Mytilus edulis: one gene and its partner. Each later gene encodes a partner of the first gene's protein in a complex. Links are inferred from orthologs where the notes say so. Each region holds a gene or a part of one and is shown in the gene's direction. Other genes may lie near its edges.

What was found.
Region 2: MMS19 nucleotide excision repair protein homolog (region 1) and cytosolic iron-sulfur assembly component 2A-like share a complex: the UniProt entries of both Homo sapiens proteins name them as parts of the CIA complex. The link is inferred for Mytilus edulis from reciprocal best matches to the Homo sapiens genes MMS19 and CIAO2A.

Annotation. Positions count from the first base shown.
Region 1 is NC_092347.1:91,253,944-91,262,693, forward strand, and holds the start of MMS19 nucleotide excision repair protein homolog, read left to right. Parts: upstream 1-5,087; 5' UTR 5,088-5,126; coding exon 5,127-5,220; intron 5,221-8,750. UniProt on the Homo sapiens protein: Key component of the cytosolic iron-sulfur protein assembly (CIA) complex, a multiprotein complex that mediates the incorporation of iron-sulfur cluster into apoproteins specifically involved in DNA metabolism and genomic integrity.
Region 2 is NC_092347.1:67,800,278-67,808,944, forward strand, and holds the start of cytosolic iron-sulfur assembly component 2A-like, read left to right. Parts: upstream 1-5,113; 5' UTR 5,114-5,225; coding exon 5,226-5,439; intron 5,440-8,667. Other genes in the region: uncharacterized protein, read right to left, coding at 681-1,326, 1,742-1,874, 2,916-2,919. UniProt on the Homo sapiens protein: Component of the cytosolic iron-sulfur protein assembly (CIA) complex, a multiprotein complex that mediates the incorporation of iron-sulfur cluster into extramitochondrial Fe/S proteins.

The DNA of each region.
Region 1 (8,750 bases):
ACAATTTAGGATAGCGAATAATGTTATATTGGAAATTTACATTTCCAAAATGGCCACCATTCAAGATGGCCACTAAATACTTCAATAGTCCTCAGTTGATATTCTTTGTCATAAGAAATACGAAAGTTTATCAAAATTGGTAAAGAAATATATTTTTCATATTTTTCTAATTATTTTTATAATTTTTTTTGACATGATTTCAAAATGGCCGCCCAGAGCCGCCATTTTGATTTTCTGAATTGGGTTCATAGCTAAAAATGTTAGTTATCACATCAACTAACACTCTGCAAAGTTTGAAACTTTTACCACAATCTGAGCAATTGTTTCACAATTCGACTGGACTATACAGCGTATAACGTGATAATAGACCTACAAACAACAAACACAAAGCTATCAAGATTGTATGAGCTCTGACTTCATAGAAATAAAAACAGACCCTGAGATTAGTATGGCCAAAAATAAACACCTCTGGCACTGTGTTGATAGTAACTATCGACCTCCATCAGATAAAATTCAGAAGTCAAAATCAGACCAGCATGAGAAGACAAATTAACATAGAACATAAATCCGCACACAGCCAGTGAACCAGATAGCATCCGCAGTATATAAAAGACCGGAGAACACAGATAGCACCTATCTGAATCGGTCTACCAAATTGGGAGAAACAGGTCAGCACCATAAGACTCGAAAAAACAGTATATATATAATTGGGAGAAACAGGTCAGCACCATAAGACTCGAAAAAACAGTATATATATATATATACTGTTTTTTCGAGTCTTATGGTGCTGACCTGTGCTGACCTGTTTCTCCCAATTTGGTAGACCGATATATATAACCAGCATATGAAAAGGGTGATCGTTACCATGATGGAATTAATAGACTTGTTTCTTTAATCAGTATATGTTGCAAAGTAATAAAACACATTGTGACCGACTAGTACCATCACTGAATATTAAGAAGCAACAACAGCTTTTGTTAAAGTCCATATTTAACCAAATGGCATAATCAAAAGCTCAAACACATCAAACGAAGGATAACAACTGCTATATATTCCTGTCTTGATTCAGTCATTCTTATGTACAAAATGTGGATTAAACCTGGTTTTACAGCTAGCTAAACCTCTCACTTGTGATATGTTTATCTTTTTAATACTGGTTAATAAAATCTTTACAGTGTGTACTGGCTGGTCATTATCGCGTATGATACGATTTTGACACGCCTACATAGCTGATGAATATGTATGACCATAGATAAGGACAGCGCGTGTAGCCATAGACTGAGAGTTGTAGATTTGTAGTATAACTGTACATATGTATCTTTGAGAATATAGAATAGATACAAGAATTATATTGTTTGTAATATTAATAATCCGAGCAAGCAAAACACGGATCTATCACTTGCAAAATGCAATATGTATGACATTCGCAAAAAATTCCATTATATTGACAACGATGTGTGAAAAAAACAACAACAGACGTAATAGGTAAAATTGTCAATAACATGAATAAGAGGTTCAACATTGTGTTATGATCTAAATCAGTATAAAAATGAACAATTGCGTCATAATTCATCAAAAAAAGCTATAACAACATCAGTAACACAATTATTCAAGTAGATTTCATTTGAATCGATTTTTGCACTAGCCTTCGTCATTTTGACGAGAGAAAAAGTATAGTCATATAAGCGGAATGTTTGTCAAGCCGTAAGACCAGGTTCAATCCATCCTTTTTTTCTTAATATTTTCTTTAGAAATTCAGGAGTATGGCAGTTGTTATCAGATAGTCCGTTTTATGTATGTTTGGTGTGATTTTGTTACTTTTCAGTGTTTCTGTTTTCCTCTTATAGTGATGTGTTTTCCTTAGTTTTAGTTTGTGACTCGGATATGTTTTCTCTTAATCGATTTATGACTTTTCACTTTGAACAGCGATACTTAGTATTCTACTGTTGCCTTTATTTAAACAAACTTGAAAGGCAAGCACTTGCAGGGCGCCGCTTAATTAAAACCCAGATGTATTATGTTATAGATAAAACTCTTGTACAAGAACATTACACAACCCGAAGCATTTGGCTAATCTCGAGCTGTAGTTTAAGTACCGTAACTTTAGAGGACGGACGACGCACTACGGAGTGATGGCAAGGTGGATTTATATCTAAAGACTGGACGGATCTGTTTGTTGTTCAGGTCTAGAAATTTTGTAAAAATAAATTAAATATATATGATCAAATGAAATCAATATGTTGCCTACTGAGTTCATGGAAACTGCATATGTGCAGGAAACAAAAGAGGGACGAAAGATACCAGAGGGGCAGTCAAACTCATAAATCGAAAATAAACTGACAACGCCATGGCTAAAAATGAAAAAAAGACAAACAGACAAACAATAGTACACATGGCACAACATCGAAAACTAAAGAATAAGCAACACGAACCCCACAAAAAACTAGGGGTGATCTCAGGTGCTCCGGAAGGGTAAGCAGATCCTGCTGCACATGTGGCACATTCATGAAAGGGAAGGGGATTGTAGTTACGACGTAAGGAACACATTCGATATCATTTGTGAAACGGGTATTCCATAACGGTCAACCAATTACTCGTGATGGCGTTCGTAAAATTTACGAAGGAATGATTTCAACTTCACCATTTGGAACTCTTGGTTTAATAGCTTCCTTGTGATCAGCAACCCTCTATCAAGAAAATCATGATAGGAAATGCAAGCACGGGAATATCGTATCAATTGGGAGACATATATCCCGTATGCAGGTGCTGCTGGAATGTTGCTACTTAGAAATGGAAAGTTTACAATTGGAAAGCTGAAATCATCTCTTTTGTAGTAATGTTTTGTTTTCAACCTACCCTCATTGTCAATTTCTAGATGTAAGTCAAGATATGAGGTCGCTTTAACTGTATTTGTAGTATCCTATATCTCTAGTTCGATGGAATAGATGAGTTCAACATAGTCACCAAATTTTGAATTATTTAGCTTTTGAAAGAACATCATCTATATAGAGGAAAGTAGAGTTAAATGACATTGCTAACTTCTTGTCCTTCTTCCTAAGAAATTCCTGTCTGAAGTCAGCCTCATAATAATAAAGAAACAAGTCGACAAGAAGAGGGGCACAATTTGTACCCATTGAAATGCCGACAGTCTGTTGAAAATAAGGTCCTCCGAACGTAACAAATATGTTGCCAATCAAGAAATCAAGCATCTTGATAATGTCAGTTTCAGAGAATTTTTTGTTTGTATCAGAGTGATTCTTTACAAAGTAAGACTTATCCTTCCCTAAGACAAGATGCTTGTACATGTATCTACGTTGGTCATTCTTTTTTTATGAAACAAAGCAATACCAACTCTTTCAATTTGTCTTTTAGTTTGGAATGTGGAATACTTGTGTAAAGTGTAGAAAAGCAAAATGTTTTATTAATACTATTACACGATGAAAGAGAGTTAGATTGTATGTACTCTAAAAGATCTTTGGAATTTTTAAGTATCCACTTGAAAGAACGTGTCATGCTGATCGTATTGGCAGGACCAAGTTGCTGTTGCTCCGTAATATATAATTCTATAGATAATGAGCAGTAATGAAAAAGAAAAACATGTCACACAGTAACTTATTGTAATTTTCGGGAAAGAAACCCTTTAAGGAGTTGATTGACAATTTCGACCCTATAGATTTATTTGTAGAACTTAAAAATTTGCTTATCTTTTTAATATTGCCAAAAAGGGCATAGTTTTCAACACGTTAGGTAAAAACACTAAACCAATTTGTTAAAATCGCCATTTATGACAATGACTTCATCATGTTCATGTAATTGCGAGATGAGTCACAATTTTTGCTCCTTTACTTATTTTTTAGGCCTGATTTAGTAGTCCGAGATTACTCTGACGTCCAACGGCTGTTTTGCCAGACAGCTTTTGTCTGGCAAAACAGCCGTTGGACGTCAGAGTACAGCTTGTCTGGCATAACAGCCGTTGGACGTCAGAGTAATCTCGGACTATGATTTAGATGCTCAGTTATAAAGCTTATATATCATATTTGCTGTCGAACTATATCTCTATTCATCACTATTTTCATGATTAAAAAATTATACCAGTATATTAGTCTTAAGTCGAGACACAAAAAAGCAACTAACATTAAGGCAATTTAACACAGAGCACCCGAAATAGAATAGAAGTATTTGTAGTTACTGAAAGTTTTTTCAAAGCTAACAACAAGTTACACTCAAATAAATCTCGTTCTCCCAGATATATGTATCAATCAGAACACAACCAACGGATTAAGTCAAAAACAGTGTGAGAACCGCAATGACGTCGTACTTATACCAGTTTGGTGGTCAGAAGGTTCAAGTTAACCATCTATAAAGAACTCTGCAATATCTTTGCTTTATACTAATTTTGCTTTACACAAAAAAATCAGTTTAGCAAGTTACTTCAAGATGTCCTTATTGCTCATATACCAGACAAACATTGGCAAATTCTTGTACAATTTAAGATTATTAAAAAAAATAAAAATCAAATGACTTAGTTATAGGAAAGGATAGAGAAAAAAAGCCAAAATTGAGCACATGCTATTACAATATATAGTTTACCAACACAGGCGCTTGGGTCTATGATACAGATTTTTTTTTAATTTTTTTTTTTTATTAAAATATTCAATTTTCTATATTTATAATACATATCTATCACTTCTGTGCATGTCTCACCTAGTTTCGAGCGATTTAAACGACCCAGAGAAAATACCAAATTTTACTATCCATACTAAGAATTATGGATAGTAAAATTTGGTATTTTCTCTGGGTCGTTTAAATCGCTCGAAACTAGGTGAGACATGCACAGAAGTGATAGATATGTATTATAAATATAGAAAATTGAATATTTTAATAAAAAAAAAAAATTAAAAAAAAATCTGTATCATAGACCCAAGCGCCTGTGTTTACCAACTGACGTATCTTCATTTTCCAATAAATAATCGTAAACTTCACTTTTGTCTTCAAAATATTAAAAAAAGAATCTGTATTTATCCGACGGCTCATTGAGTTTTTGATATTTTATTGATAGAAAAAAATGTTGGAAGAGCTAGAAAATTGGCGGGAATTTAAAGGGAGACAACTTTAGCTTGAAAAAGATGGCTGCGCCCATGAAATTGGAAAGTTGTGTTCAAAATTATATTGAAAATACAGTTGCAGACCAAAGGACAACGATAAGCTCGGTCACAAAAGGTATTTATTTTGATTGCTGATCACTTATGTGTTCACGTATTTCTTAATTAAAAATCTACTGCTGAGCGGCCTAATGAAGAAAAGGGGGGAGGTGGTCTTACACAATAAGTCACAGCACAGGGTTTTTTTACCATTTGCCGGGTTTACGACTGTCATACAAGTGAGAGGTTCAGCTAGCTATAAAACCAGGTTCAATCCACCATTTTCTACATTAGAAAATGCCTGTACCAAGTCAGGAATATGACAGAACTTTGTTATCCATTCGTTTGATGTCATGGATGTGTTGGACTTTTGATTTTGCCTTTTGATTTTTGATTTTCCTTTTTGAATTTTCCTCGGAGTTCAGTATTTTTGTATCCATACGATCCCCGATTTTAACAAACCCCTGCGGTCACCGACTCTCAGCAACTGGTTATTCCTGACCTGATAAATATTAAAAAGTGGAGGGTTTTTGAATAACCAGTGGCTGTGAGTCTGACAATTATTGATTAAATGCAATATGTTATGTCACTATACTAAATTAGGAATGTTTGACATGTTTTCATACCATAATATGGTTTTAAGAAAACAATGCTCTATTTCATGTATTTTTGTTGAATAATTTGCTTAAAAAAAATAAATTATACGTCAATTGGTCTATACCATGTATACCATTATATGTCAACTGGTGTATTATATGTCAATTGAGGTACCGTATAATCCACCAATTGGTGGTTATTCCTGACCTGTTTATTACGACATTACACAGGCACTCTTCTTAGAATTTTTTCCCCAATATATGATAGGGAAAAGAAATCTGAGAGAAGTGCATATAAAGGTATATAGAAACAAATATTCTGAGACGAGTGCCTTTGGATATTAGTAGCATTTAATATATATATATATATTACCTTTTTCTATGCTGTGGCCTAAAGCAAACACAGCAGTGGCGGATCCAGCCTTTTTATAAATTAGAAGGGGGGTTCGAACTATTTGTCCCCATACCAAAACATTGATCGTCCAAAAAAATGGGTGTTCCAACCCCAGGAACCCTCCCCTGAATCCCTCACTGCACCAATCAATCGGTTTCCCTAGCCGACTGGACGCAATTACATGTACATGTACAACTGGACACAATTACGAATTATTTCCTATTTTGGCCCACTGAAATCATATTTTATTTTATTTATATTTATCAATAAATGTTTCTATAAATAAAAACCCTATTAAATTGTTTATACAAGTCATGTGAATTCTGTGAATGTTGATGACCATGACAAAATCATTCTGAAAATATTATAAGAACGACAATCTCGCCTGCAAAATAAAAAAAACAAAAACATATATATATATAGGTAAGTGCATATTGCCTTCTTTTGTTAATACATAGAAAGAAAAATATCTCCTGATTCTGTTCATATGCGTGATGCCTTTTATCTTGCCCAAATGACCCCACAATATGACAATTTGACTTTTTTTAGACTCTTGTGATCCTATTTTTGGTCAAAATAACATATGTTAACATGGTTAACTTAAGGTGGTACCTAACACTACAGGGAGATAACTTTTTGAAAATCAGCTAAACGTTTTAATTACATCATGTACATTGTGTTGATAAGGGAATATTAAGCTTCTCAATGATCAAAAGTATTGTCTGTCAAACTGCTATATAACCAGTGTAATTTTTCTGATTAAATGGTTGGTTCAAATGTTTTGAAATTTTTATGTTTTTCATAAGATGAAGCGATACACATAAAAAAAAATCCCATGGAGGTTTTCAAAAGTTGGAAGGTCTTTTTTTGTCAAAGGGTCAAAGTAAGTACTTTGTCAAAATTTTATGAAAATTAAACGAGCCAAATTAATTTTAGTCAAGGTGTTGGGTACCACCTTAATCTAAAAGTCCAAAGAACGCCGTAAGAAATGTTGACCTATTTAAAAAATATCATGATGAATGATAAGTTTACCACCGAGATGGATAAACTTGAATTTAGTGCTCCTTAAAAGGAGGAACTAACACAAAAACAAATATTTCCTTTACACATTCGACAGACATTTTGACTGCCATGTCTGCAACCACTGCTGAAGTAATTGAAGTAAAATACAAACTTGTGCATCTTTTTTTCCTACATGTGTCCTATGGAAATGTGTTTGAGATTAAGATTAGTGTATATGCTTTTATCAATCTAGACTGTTGTCCTTGATTTCTTCTTCAAGATACATTGTATATCAATATAGTGCTGTTTGGAATCGTGTGTATAATAATATGTGGCTCACTTGCCCCGTAAAATGAGGTCACGCAAATCTTACTAAAGTATCCAAACGTGAACAGAAAATTATGTATAGCCTTATACATCTTAAGTTCTATGGTATAAACAATTCAAGAAAAGAAGTCTACATAAAAAATATTAATCACAGTTCAAAAATCCTTTGTAATTGTGTCTGGTGAGGCTATAGTCTAGAACAAAATATGAAAATAGTGAACCATAATTTATTAATAGGTTGTTATAATTGAGGGTAGGAATGCACCTTACTGTCATCATTAGCCATTTTCGGCTAATGTCAGCATCAAATCGGGATTCCTCAACATGTTCCTTCAATCATGATTTATCAGAGGTCTCCAATAATTATCCATTACCTTTATTATTTGTAAATAAATAACATGATTCTTCAAATCAGTTGATTTTTTTATCATTAAATGTTCATTTTGTTTTCATGTACCAAAACTTTACATTAGCAATATGGAAAGATTTTTATTGTTATTCTTTATGAACATAATCATGATAATGAAGGAACCTTAATTATGACCATGATGACCCTCATAAGTTTATCCATATGGCATAAGAACTTATCCATTTTGGTAATCTAGAGCTCAGAAAATTGCTCATCCCAATTTGGCAAAAGTTATTACCATTAGATCCTAATCCTAATTCTACAACCAGATTTCCCCCCGGTCCTTTCCGGTCAATTTTTTTCAAGGTCACATGTCAACCAACAATTTTATGCATATATATATATCTTTCAAAGTGACAAGAGGAAATAAATAAATGGAACAAAGAAAAATTGAAATTTAGAATTTGGCCTTGACCTTTGACCTTGACGTAGTTTTATATTCTTTGGACCAAGGACTGTATCACTTATGGTTTACCAGTTACAAATGCACTTCACTTAAATTTCAAATGCATTAGGGGAAATAACTCTCATATGGAGTCTTCATATTACTTCTTTCAAAATTGGACAAGAACTGTTCAATATCATCTGCAAAAATTTAAGCGACATCTTGCGAAATCATAAAAAATATTTTGAAATTTGGCGCAAGAAGAAAAAAAAAATAATCAGAACAAATACAATAGGTCTTTCAACAGAAAAGTTTAGCAATTTAAAAAAGTCATTTTCAAACAAAATGAAATATATTTCTTGATTATAAAATGAGTTATTTATTTACAGTATATGTACACCTCAAGATGTAGTAAGTCACAATTGTCCAATTTTGTATGTGCTGGTATAATGTATTTGTTTTTATGGCCCGCCTTCAATAGTAGAGGGACATTATG
Region 2 (8,667 bases), about 23 Mb from region 1:
TTAATGTACATGTCAAGTATAAACTTTGAAATCATAACGGTTCTCAAGACATAGAGCCGACATAATATGTATCATAGGACATGGGGTTGTCAACTGAAACTGAAAAATGTTTGACCTTGACCTTTGACCTAGGAAGTTGTACATACATTATGACACATCCTCTGGTGTTGATTAATATACATGTCAAGAATAAACTTTGAAATCATAACGGTTCTCAGGATATAGAGCGGACACGATCTTTATCATAGGACATGCAGTTGTCAACTAAAATCAAAGTTTTTGACCTTGAACTTTGACCTAGGAAATTGTACAAACATTCTGACACACCATCTGGGGTTGTTTAATATACATGTCAACTATAAAGTATGAAATTATAACGGTTCTCTAGATATAGAGCGGACACAATGTGTTACGGACGGACAAACGGACGGACAGACTGATCACTAATTATTCTTTATTTTGTTGGATTACATTAACTAGTATACAGAATTATAAAATATATAACAAAACGCGTTACCTTGGACAAAACCAAAACTGCAAAATAAAAATGTAATGTAAAATGTCTTGTTAAGACATTAGTTTTAGCACGATAACAAAATTTATTAACTGCAACTTGGTATATAAAAATATCAAACATTTGAGGTACACCTTTTATTTTTCTTCGGTCAATTTTGTCAATTCTAAAAGTTGTTGTAATAATGCCCTAGAGTTGAAAGATGGGGTCCGTTCTCATCAAGAAGGCTGGCTGCTGGGAAAACCCAACCATCTCCATGTGTTCTGCTGACGAACCATGAGTAACGGTAGACATATGAAGCAGATTCAAGTCGAGGTAATACAGCCTTCATGTAATTTAGTTGGTCGTTGACAGAGTTTTTCTGCGGACATGCAAATTCGGTAAGCCATATTGGTTTGTGGAATCTATCCCATAATTTCTTTAAGAAATTCATTGTAATGTCTGCATTACACCAATAGGCATGAGTGGCTATGTAATCAACTTGGCAACCATGACAATGTGAAAAAAATTGCTCTAACCATACCACTGGATCTAGGTAACCACCCGGGGCAACGGCAGGGCTTACCAACTTTCTCCCGTGAGCAATTGATTCCAATGATTTCCAGTGAGTTGCTGCATCTTGGGGTGACATATTTGCTTGTTGCCGAAAATTTGGTTCATTGAAACCCAGGACATAGTGGGTGTTGTGTTGTAAATGGACTGGTTCATCAATGTTATGTCGCCATGCCCAGACCATTGGCACATATCCTGATTTTACACTTGACGAACAATGTTTTGTGCTGTGTTGCCACGGAGACTCGTGCCAATCATACCTAAAAGTGTAGAAAAAACGGTTTGCTTAAAAAACAGAAAATTAAACTTTGACACCAGGAGAATAAATCTCCAACCGCGGTTGGCATCGACCCAGTGTTTTTCAATAAACTCTTCATAACCAGGATTAAAATTGTGTATATGTGCCAGACTATATGCGTTTCGTCTACAAAAGACTCATTATTTACTCTCGAATAAAGAAAAGTTACGAAGGTGAATTCGAAGAGCATTGGGAACCAAACATTCATATTTACTTTGCCAAATACAGCTAAAGTAATCTTTTCTTGAGGTAGAAAAGCCTGAGTATTTAAAACATGTTAAGTTTTGTAAACAGTTAATTTATAATTATGAACATATCAATGATAGCGCATGTCAACACAAAAGTGCTGACTACTGAGCTGGTGAATAGTCACTTACCACCAGTGGATATTAGTAAGGGCATCTTCGTCTCCACAATGGTAACTGTGTCCGCCATTTATGGCAACTCCCTTTTTGGTGGAAGCTTCACAAAGACTGAAAATCACCAGCAAGCAGAATGTGTAAAGCATTCCTGTTAAAAAATAAAATGTTGGGCATTAATTGGAAAAGAGCTAAACAACCTTGGTATTCATTGTCGAGGATAATCTTTAGAATGTAGTATCATGGTGAAATTTAAAAAAAATCAAGAATTTAAATCGATACTTTTAGTCGGAAGAGTAAAGTAACACAATAAGCTAAGCATTTCGCTAGGTTATGGGGTTCCTTTTTGGAGATATTTATTTTTTTTAAATGACTCGGAATTGTACCTTATATAAAAAAAAAAATGTTATTATCTGGGTCTCAAATTGAAAAAAAACGAAATCTAGAATTTTGGTGATTTACCTTTTATGAGCTTAAGAAGTCTTATAAGAACAGAAAAATGGGCGTAATGGGGCAAAATTGGTTTACTCTGTATCATGGGGGACAAATTAGGAGTCCGACCATCTGATACAAATTCCTAAAATTGACATAAGTACACCCTTTAATAATCTTTCAAAAATCTGAAGAAAAAAATAATCAGGTTCAAATAGTAGATAGAGCGACAGAGGCAAACCACGTCACATTAGGACTTTAGTAAGAATTACGACCAAATTACTTAAGAACTCTTTCAGATGCCCATAATTGTAAGTGACCCGTTCCAAGTTTATTTTTTCGTCCTGATTATAATTAAAATAGTTTCTACTGGATATTAAGAGAGCAACAATCAATTAATTACATACCTATTAATTCGTTTAGTAGTACGTGTATTCGAAGATATCTTTTCAAGAAACCAAGGAAACTACCCGGTATATGCTATAACTATATATACGTTAACAATAGTTATAAGAAGATGTGGTATGAGTGCCAATGAGACAACTCTCTATCCAAGTCACAATTTGTAAACTAAGGTAAACCATTATAGGTCAAAGTATAGTCTTCCACACGGACCATTGACTCACACAAGCTTTTAGTGTATTTTTTTTTATATTTTTTATTTTTTTCTTACCTTACAGTGGTGTTTGATTATTTTTGAGACTTCTACAACACTAGTGCTATAGTAGTCTCAGATTATTTGAACTAAATGTACACTCACCCATGTTTTGGTATTACAAATCCTGTCGTAATACGACACTGATCTTGTACCTTAACATTGCTTTTCATTTTATATAGACTGTTTATCTTTATCTCTTAAAGATAACCCAGGTGTTAATTTCAAGAATGACAAGTGTTACTATGTGTTTCGATTATGCCACCGATCCAAAAGAAATGACCTGAAAGACCTAGTTAATTTAAAACAAAATATACGTATATATAATTTGGGTGTTGCTTCGGATTTTGATGAAATTCTGAATGTATCTATATCTCGTTAAACTGCATCTGAATTCCGAAAACTAGCGTTTATAGTTTGTAATGATAGTCTTTTGAAAATGTAATAAAGCTGTATAAATGTATAGAATATATGTTAAAAAAATAACGTAAAAGATATGCACTTTTTTCAATTTATATTGGAATTTCTTGTAATTCTTACAGCTGTTAACAGTATCGTTTTAACAATACGAAATTATAAGGGGGTCGCCAGATTCTTTTTGCTGTATGTACTGTCGGGTATTGTGTGAAAAATAGAAAAGTAACGATTGTCTTTTTTGTTGTTTTCCGGTCCAATTTTCAAGTTACATGTATCGAGGCTTATGGATTTCTATTGACTTATAAAAATAAGGAGATGTGGTATGATTGCCAAATGAGACAACTCTCCACCAAAGTTCAAAAGAAGTCGATGTAAGCAATTATAGGCGACCGCAAGAACGTTTCAATAGCTTTAGTTTTGTATTAATAAACACCCTATTTGACCTGACTTGGCACTAACATTAAAAGGTCGTTTGACTTTTTATCTGCACTCAGTTAAAGCCAGTTATTACTTGTTCAGGTATAAATGATAATCGATTCTGGATTATTTCACACAAGAGTTTAAGCAGCTTAAGGCTGTATCCTAGGTGTAAGATGATTGACCATCATTTCACTGCCTCACGGCTTTGGTCCTGATAACGCTTCCTGTCATCTTTAGCACTACGTCCAAGACTCATCTACCAGTACTCCATCATCGAGGTTAGCGGGCTGCCAAGCTGACCAAACTGGCCCTGAAAGCAGCCGTTGTGAAGAAATAACAACAAAATAGTAAACAAACCTAAAAGAACTCTCAAAACCAAGATGGCGACCTCCAAAATGGCGACCACCACCTGTCAAATTGGTACTTTTACTATAGGGTATTATTTAAAGATCGAAATAAGCTAAAAAAAATATTGATAGGTCATGGAGCTCCTTTTTGAAATATTTGATTTTTAAAATATGGCGGGCGGGAAAAGGCTGACTCGGACTTTACCTTATATTTGCATTGGTATTATTTGGGTCTCGAATCACAAGAAAGAAAATCAAGAATCTGTTTAAATTCTGTCAAATGACCTTTTATGAGCTATTTAGAATAGTCTTATGTTAAAGATGAACGGGTTTTATGGAGAAAAATATTTTACCTTGTATCGTATTGAAAAACACCGAGGAATCCGAACAATTGACCCTCACCTAAGAACATCCTTAAAACAAAGTGCAGGACAAAATTTTCTTCATCCTAGCTCCCCACCCTAACAAAATCAAATGGTAACTTCTTTATTGAATCCATTCATTTTATGTAAAATAATTCAATTTAAATTTAAATCCTAGCAGAGCAGTGGCGGATCCAGAACTTTTCCTAAAGGGGGGGGGGGCTGACTTACCTAAGGAAGAGGGGGCGCTCCAGTCATGCTTCAATGATTCCCTATATAATCAACCAAATTTTTCCCACGAAAGAGGGGCCCAGCCCCCGCAGGCCCCCCTAGTTCCGCCTATGCAGAGACATGTATACTAAATGTATTTATATGTCTCTGATCCTAGACATCAAACGTGTTATCCACCAGTTTTCAACGCAAATATTGCAGGCAATAGCCCTCTTATTACATGCAGTGCCCTAAAACGAAACACAAGAATGTATGTGCAGCTGCAGAAATGTCTCGTTCACTGACAATTGAGTTTTATGTTGAAAGTCTTAAAAGTAAAGGTAAGACTAAAAGCATCACAGAAAGTCCGGTTCGATAAATGATGTCAGAAAAACATATACACTTACATTTTTTTATTACACAAAATATATTTCAATGATTCAACTTTGAACCATTTCATTTGAAACTGTAATTAATTTGAAAATTAAGCTCGACTAAGAACGTTGTTGTGCTTTGTTCTTATAACTTAAATTTTGTGTTATTGTGTGTATTATAAGTTGCTCTCCGTAAAGGATATCACTTCCGTTTTCATCTAAAAATGAAAAATTCGACAGTCTAAAGTTAAACTACAGATTATAGTACTTTGCGTCTTATTTTCGATGAATGCAATCAAATCATTGTTACAGAATGTTGTGAAAACTACACCACATTCTTATGAAACTGCTCAAGGTTCACAAGAACTGTACATCGACGTAAAAAATAAGAACAACAAACCAGACGTCGTTTCTTCAAATGAAACTGGCAAGACAAAATCTGCAGTGGTGTTACCAGTTATCGACCAAGAATGTAAACAACTCCAGGAAACCATATTTGGTAAATTTTATGACTTTATGTGCACATTCAAGTACTTGTTCAATCTTGTAAAAACTTGGTGTCATGTCAACCTCTGTTGTTACAACCAACCAGTTGAATCCGGGTCCGTTTGCACCCATTCACGTTCGCACCCATTCATGTTCGCCCCTTTCACTTTCGCACCCTACATGTTTGCACTCAAAGTCTGTTTGCACCCAACATGTTCACGCCCAATTTTAATTGGTTTTGTATTTATTAACTATAGCTTTTTTATCAAGTTTTGGCAAGTGTATTCTTATATTTGTTGTCATTGTCTCAAAATAAGTGAGACAGCATTTTTGGAAAATGACGCAGTCATTGTTCCATTACTGGCGACCTGAACTTCATTACATTTCTCTGCCTACCGCGCTTGGTTTCGTATTTACTATTTTCTATACAAACTAGAATCTGCTTGTGTTATCATTAATTATGCATGAGAGGTCATTGTGTAGTAATCAGCCAGGAACCAGTTTACAAACTAACTGGTTTCTGCTTGTATTCCACTAACTCAGACAAAGTGTTGTAGTTTGACGGGAACCAGTTTAGAATTTGTAAACTACAAAACATAATCAGTTATTGTTCATTCCGTTTTGGTGTTTCATACCGACTTTTATGGTTTGAATAAGCTTAAGACCCTTCAAACATTAATGTGATAGGTATATTAAAGACTGTTTTACAAAAGGATGGAACTGTTTTGCTTTCAAAGTCGTACTATAGTGATATCTGTTATGTACGGATTTCCACTCTCTCCGGTTAATTTCTTTTTTTACACGTGCTTTTGAAACTTCCTGTTTAAACATTGCAAGTTTTAAAATTGTTTTTTGAGTGAATTTAACTTATTTTAACAATCATGAAGCGTTCCAGAATCATTTTCAAGCAGTTTCTTCTTCTCTTTGATGATGGAAAATAGGTTTTTCTCAAGAAAATACCGCAAACGATCGCAGAGGAATTGAAACGTACAAGTCAAGTCGGCACCTGGTTAAATTGGCATCTAGTCAAATCGGCACCTATTTGACGTCAATTCGGCATCCAATAATATTTGTTATAATATTTTCTATTCAATTAATTAATAACTGTTACCCAGTACATAGTGAATATGTTGTTGTGTATTTAGGTAAACAACGAAACCAAAGTGAAATTATGTTGTTGTGTATAAAGGTAAACAACGAAGACCTTACCCAAGCTGTTGTTTTAACAATTAGACAATTATTAAAAAAAAATGGAAAACTATGAGTCCCTTTCAATAAATCAAACTTTCATGCCAAATAATAAGCAAATTTAAGGTGTTTTTTTTTCAGTAAAGTCAAGGATTTGTATAGTAAGAAATATATACAAATCCTTGGTAAAGTTTAAAAAGCATTAAACAAACAATCCTGTCAAATGCTCAACTGGTTTAAATAATGCATAAAAATATCCAATATCTCATGTATTAGTCCAAATAATTATGACGTCTGGCAAGGCTATTTTATTTTTTTTCTGTGACGTCTTCCTACGAAGTTCGTAGGAAGGCGTCCCAGAAAAAAATTAACATAGCCTTGCGGTCATAGAAAGGTGTCCCAGAATAAAATTAAAAAAGCCTTGCCAGACGTAATAATTAGTTTGACTACTCATATATATATCATTAAAAATACACCAAAAATGTCATTTAGTTGAGAAAAATAAATATATACAAAATGACTAAATGTACAATGAACACCCAAAAATGTGAAAGTTAGTATTTAACTCTTTTTGCTTAAATACTGAAAAAAATTCTGGCAACCCCTTACTTATTTTTACTCTATTTGCTTAAAATACTGTTAAAATATATATTTAACATGGGTGACGAATTGACTATATCAGGTGTCGATCTAACCAGGTGCTGATTTGTCCAGGTGCCAATTTAACCATGTTAACCAGGTGCCGGTTTGACTAGAATTCTTTGACAAATGTTTGAAATTACCGGAGTTTCATTAGACCTTTGATAACAGTAACAAAAAGATTATTTACTTAATATTTTGTGGTATCAGGTCTGTTCGCCCCCAATACACTTTCGCACCTTGCAGGTTTGCACCTCGCACGTTCGCACCTCGCACGTTCGCACCCAAGGTCCGTTCGCACTCTACTCATTCACGCTCAATTTTAATTCAAATTCAAGTTGAATAATTGGAAAATCATGATTGTTGTTTTAAATTGCTTTGGTGTAAATACTGAATATATTTATAGCTTGGTATGAGTAAAACATTGAAGATTTTAAAGGAAAAACACAAAAGATAATTGTTTTTAACAGCTTGGTCCCTTTGATCTGAAACAACGAAACAATAAAATATGGGAACCAAAATATAGCAATCCACTATTATAACCAAAACTTGATAAAATCTATTCAACACACAGAAAAAAACATAGTCAGAATCTCACTTCATTTTGAAAGAAGTCAATGAAACAAAGTTATAGCAATACACTAACCAAAACATGATTAAGAGTTATTCAACACAAAATAAAACGTTGACAAAATACCACTTTAATTAGAAAGGATTATTATTATTTTTAACAATACGCTATCCAAAACATGATTAAGATTTATTCAACACAAATAAAAATGCTGTCTCACTTTATTTTGAGACAATGACAACAATTATACTTATAAGAAAACACTTGCTTACAGAGTTATTAAACACAAAACCAATTAAGATTGGGTGCGAACATTTAGGGTGTGAAAGTGAAAGGGGGCGAACATGAGTGGGCGCGAACGGACCCGGATTCAGACTATGTACCAGTGAGAAATATACAAGCCTTTCTACGGTATTTATTTGTACAATTCAGGTAGTCTTGACCTATTCATTTGTCTTAAAAAAACAGCCAGTTGTCACCTTCACTTCACACACACACATATATACGAATATCAATTATATGCTTACAAGACATGTTGCATTGTTAAACTAATTACGGTATGTGAAAATCAAGACTTGCATAAAAACTATCCCAATATTAGAGACAGTGGCGTCATTTTTCTTCAGAGCTTTCAGCTCTTTGATTTTTTTGTGTTGAATAAATCTAAAGTCATGTTTTGGATAGTGTATTGTTAAAAAAAAAATCCTTTCTAAATAAAGTGGGATTCTGTCAACGTTTTATTTTGTGTTGAATAACTCTTAATCATGTTTTGGTTAATATGAGGCAGGCATTACCTGTGAATGGGGACGAAGTTTGTTTAAATTATTTTTTTGTTAAAAAAAA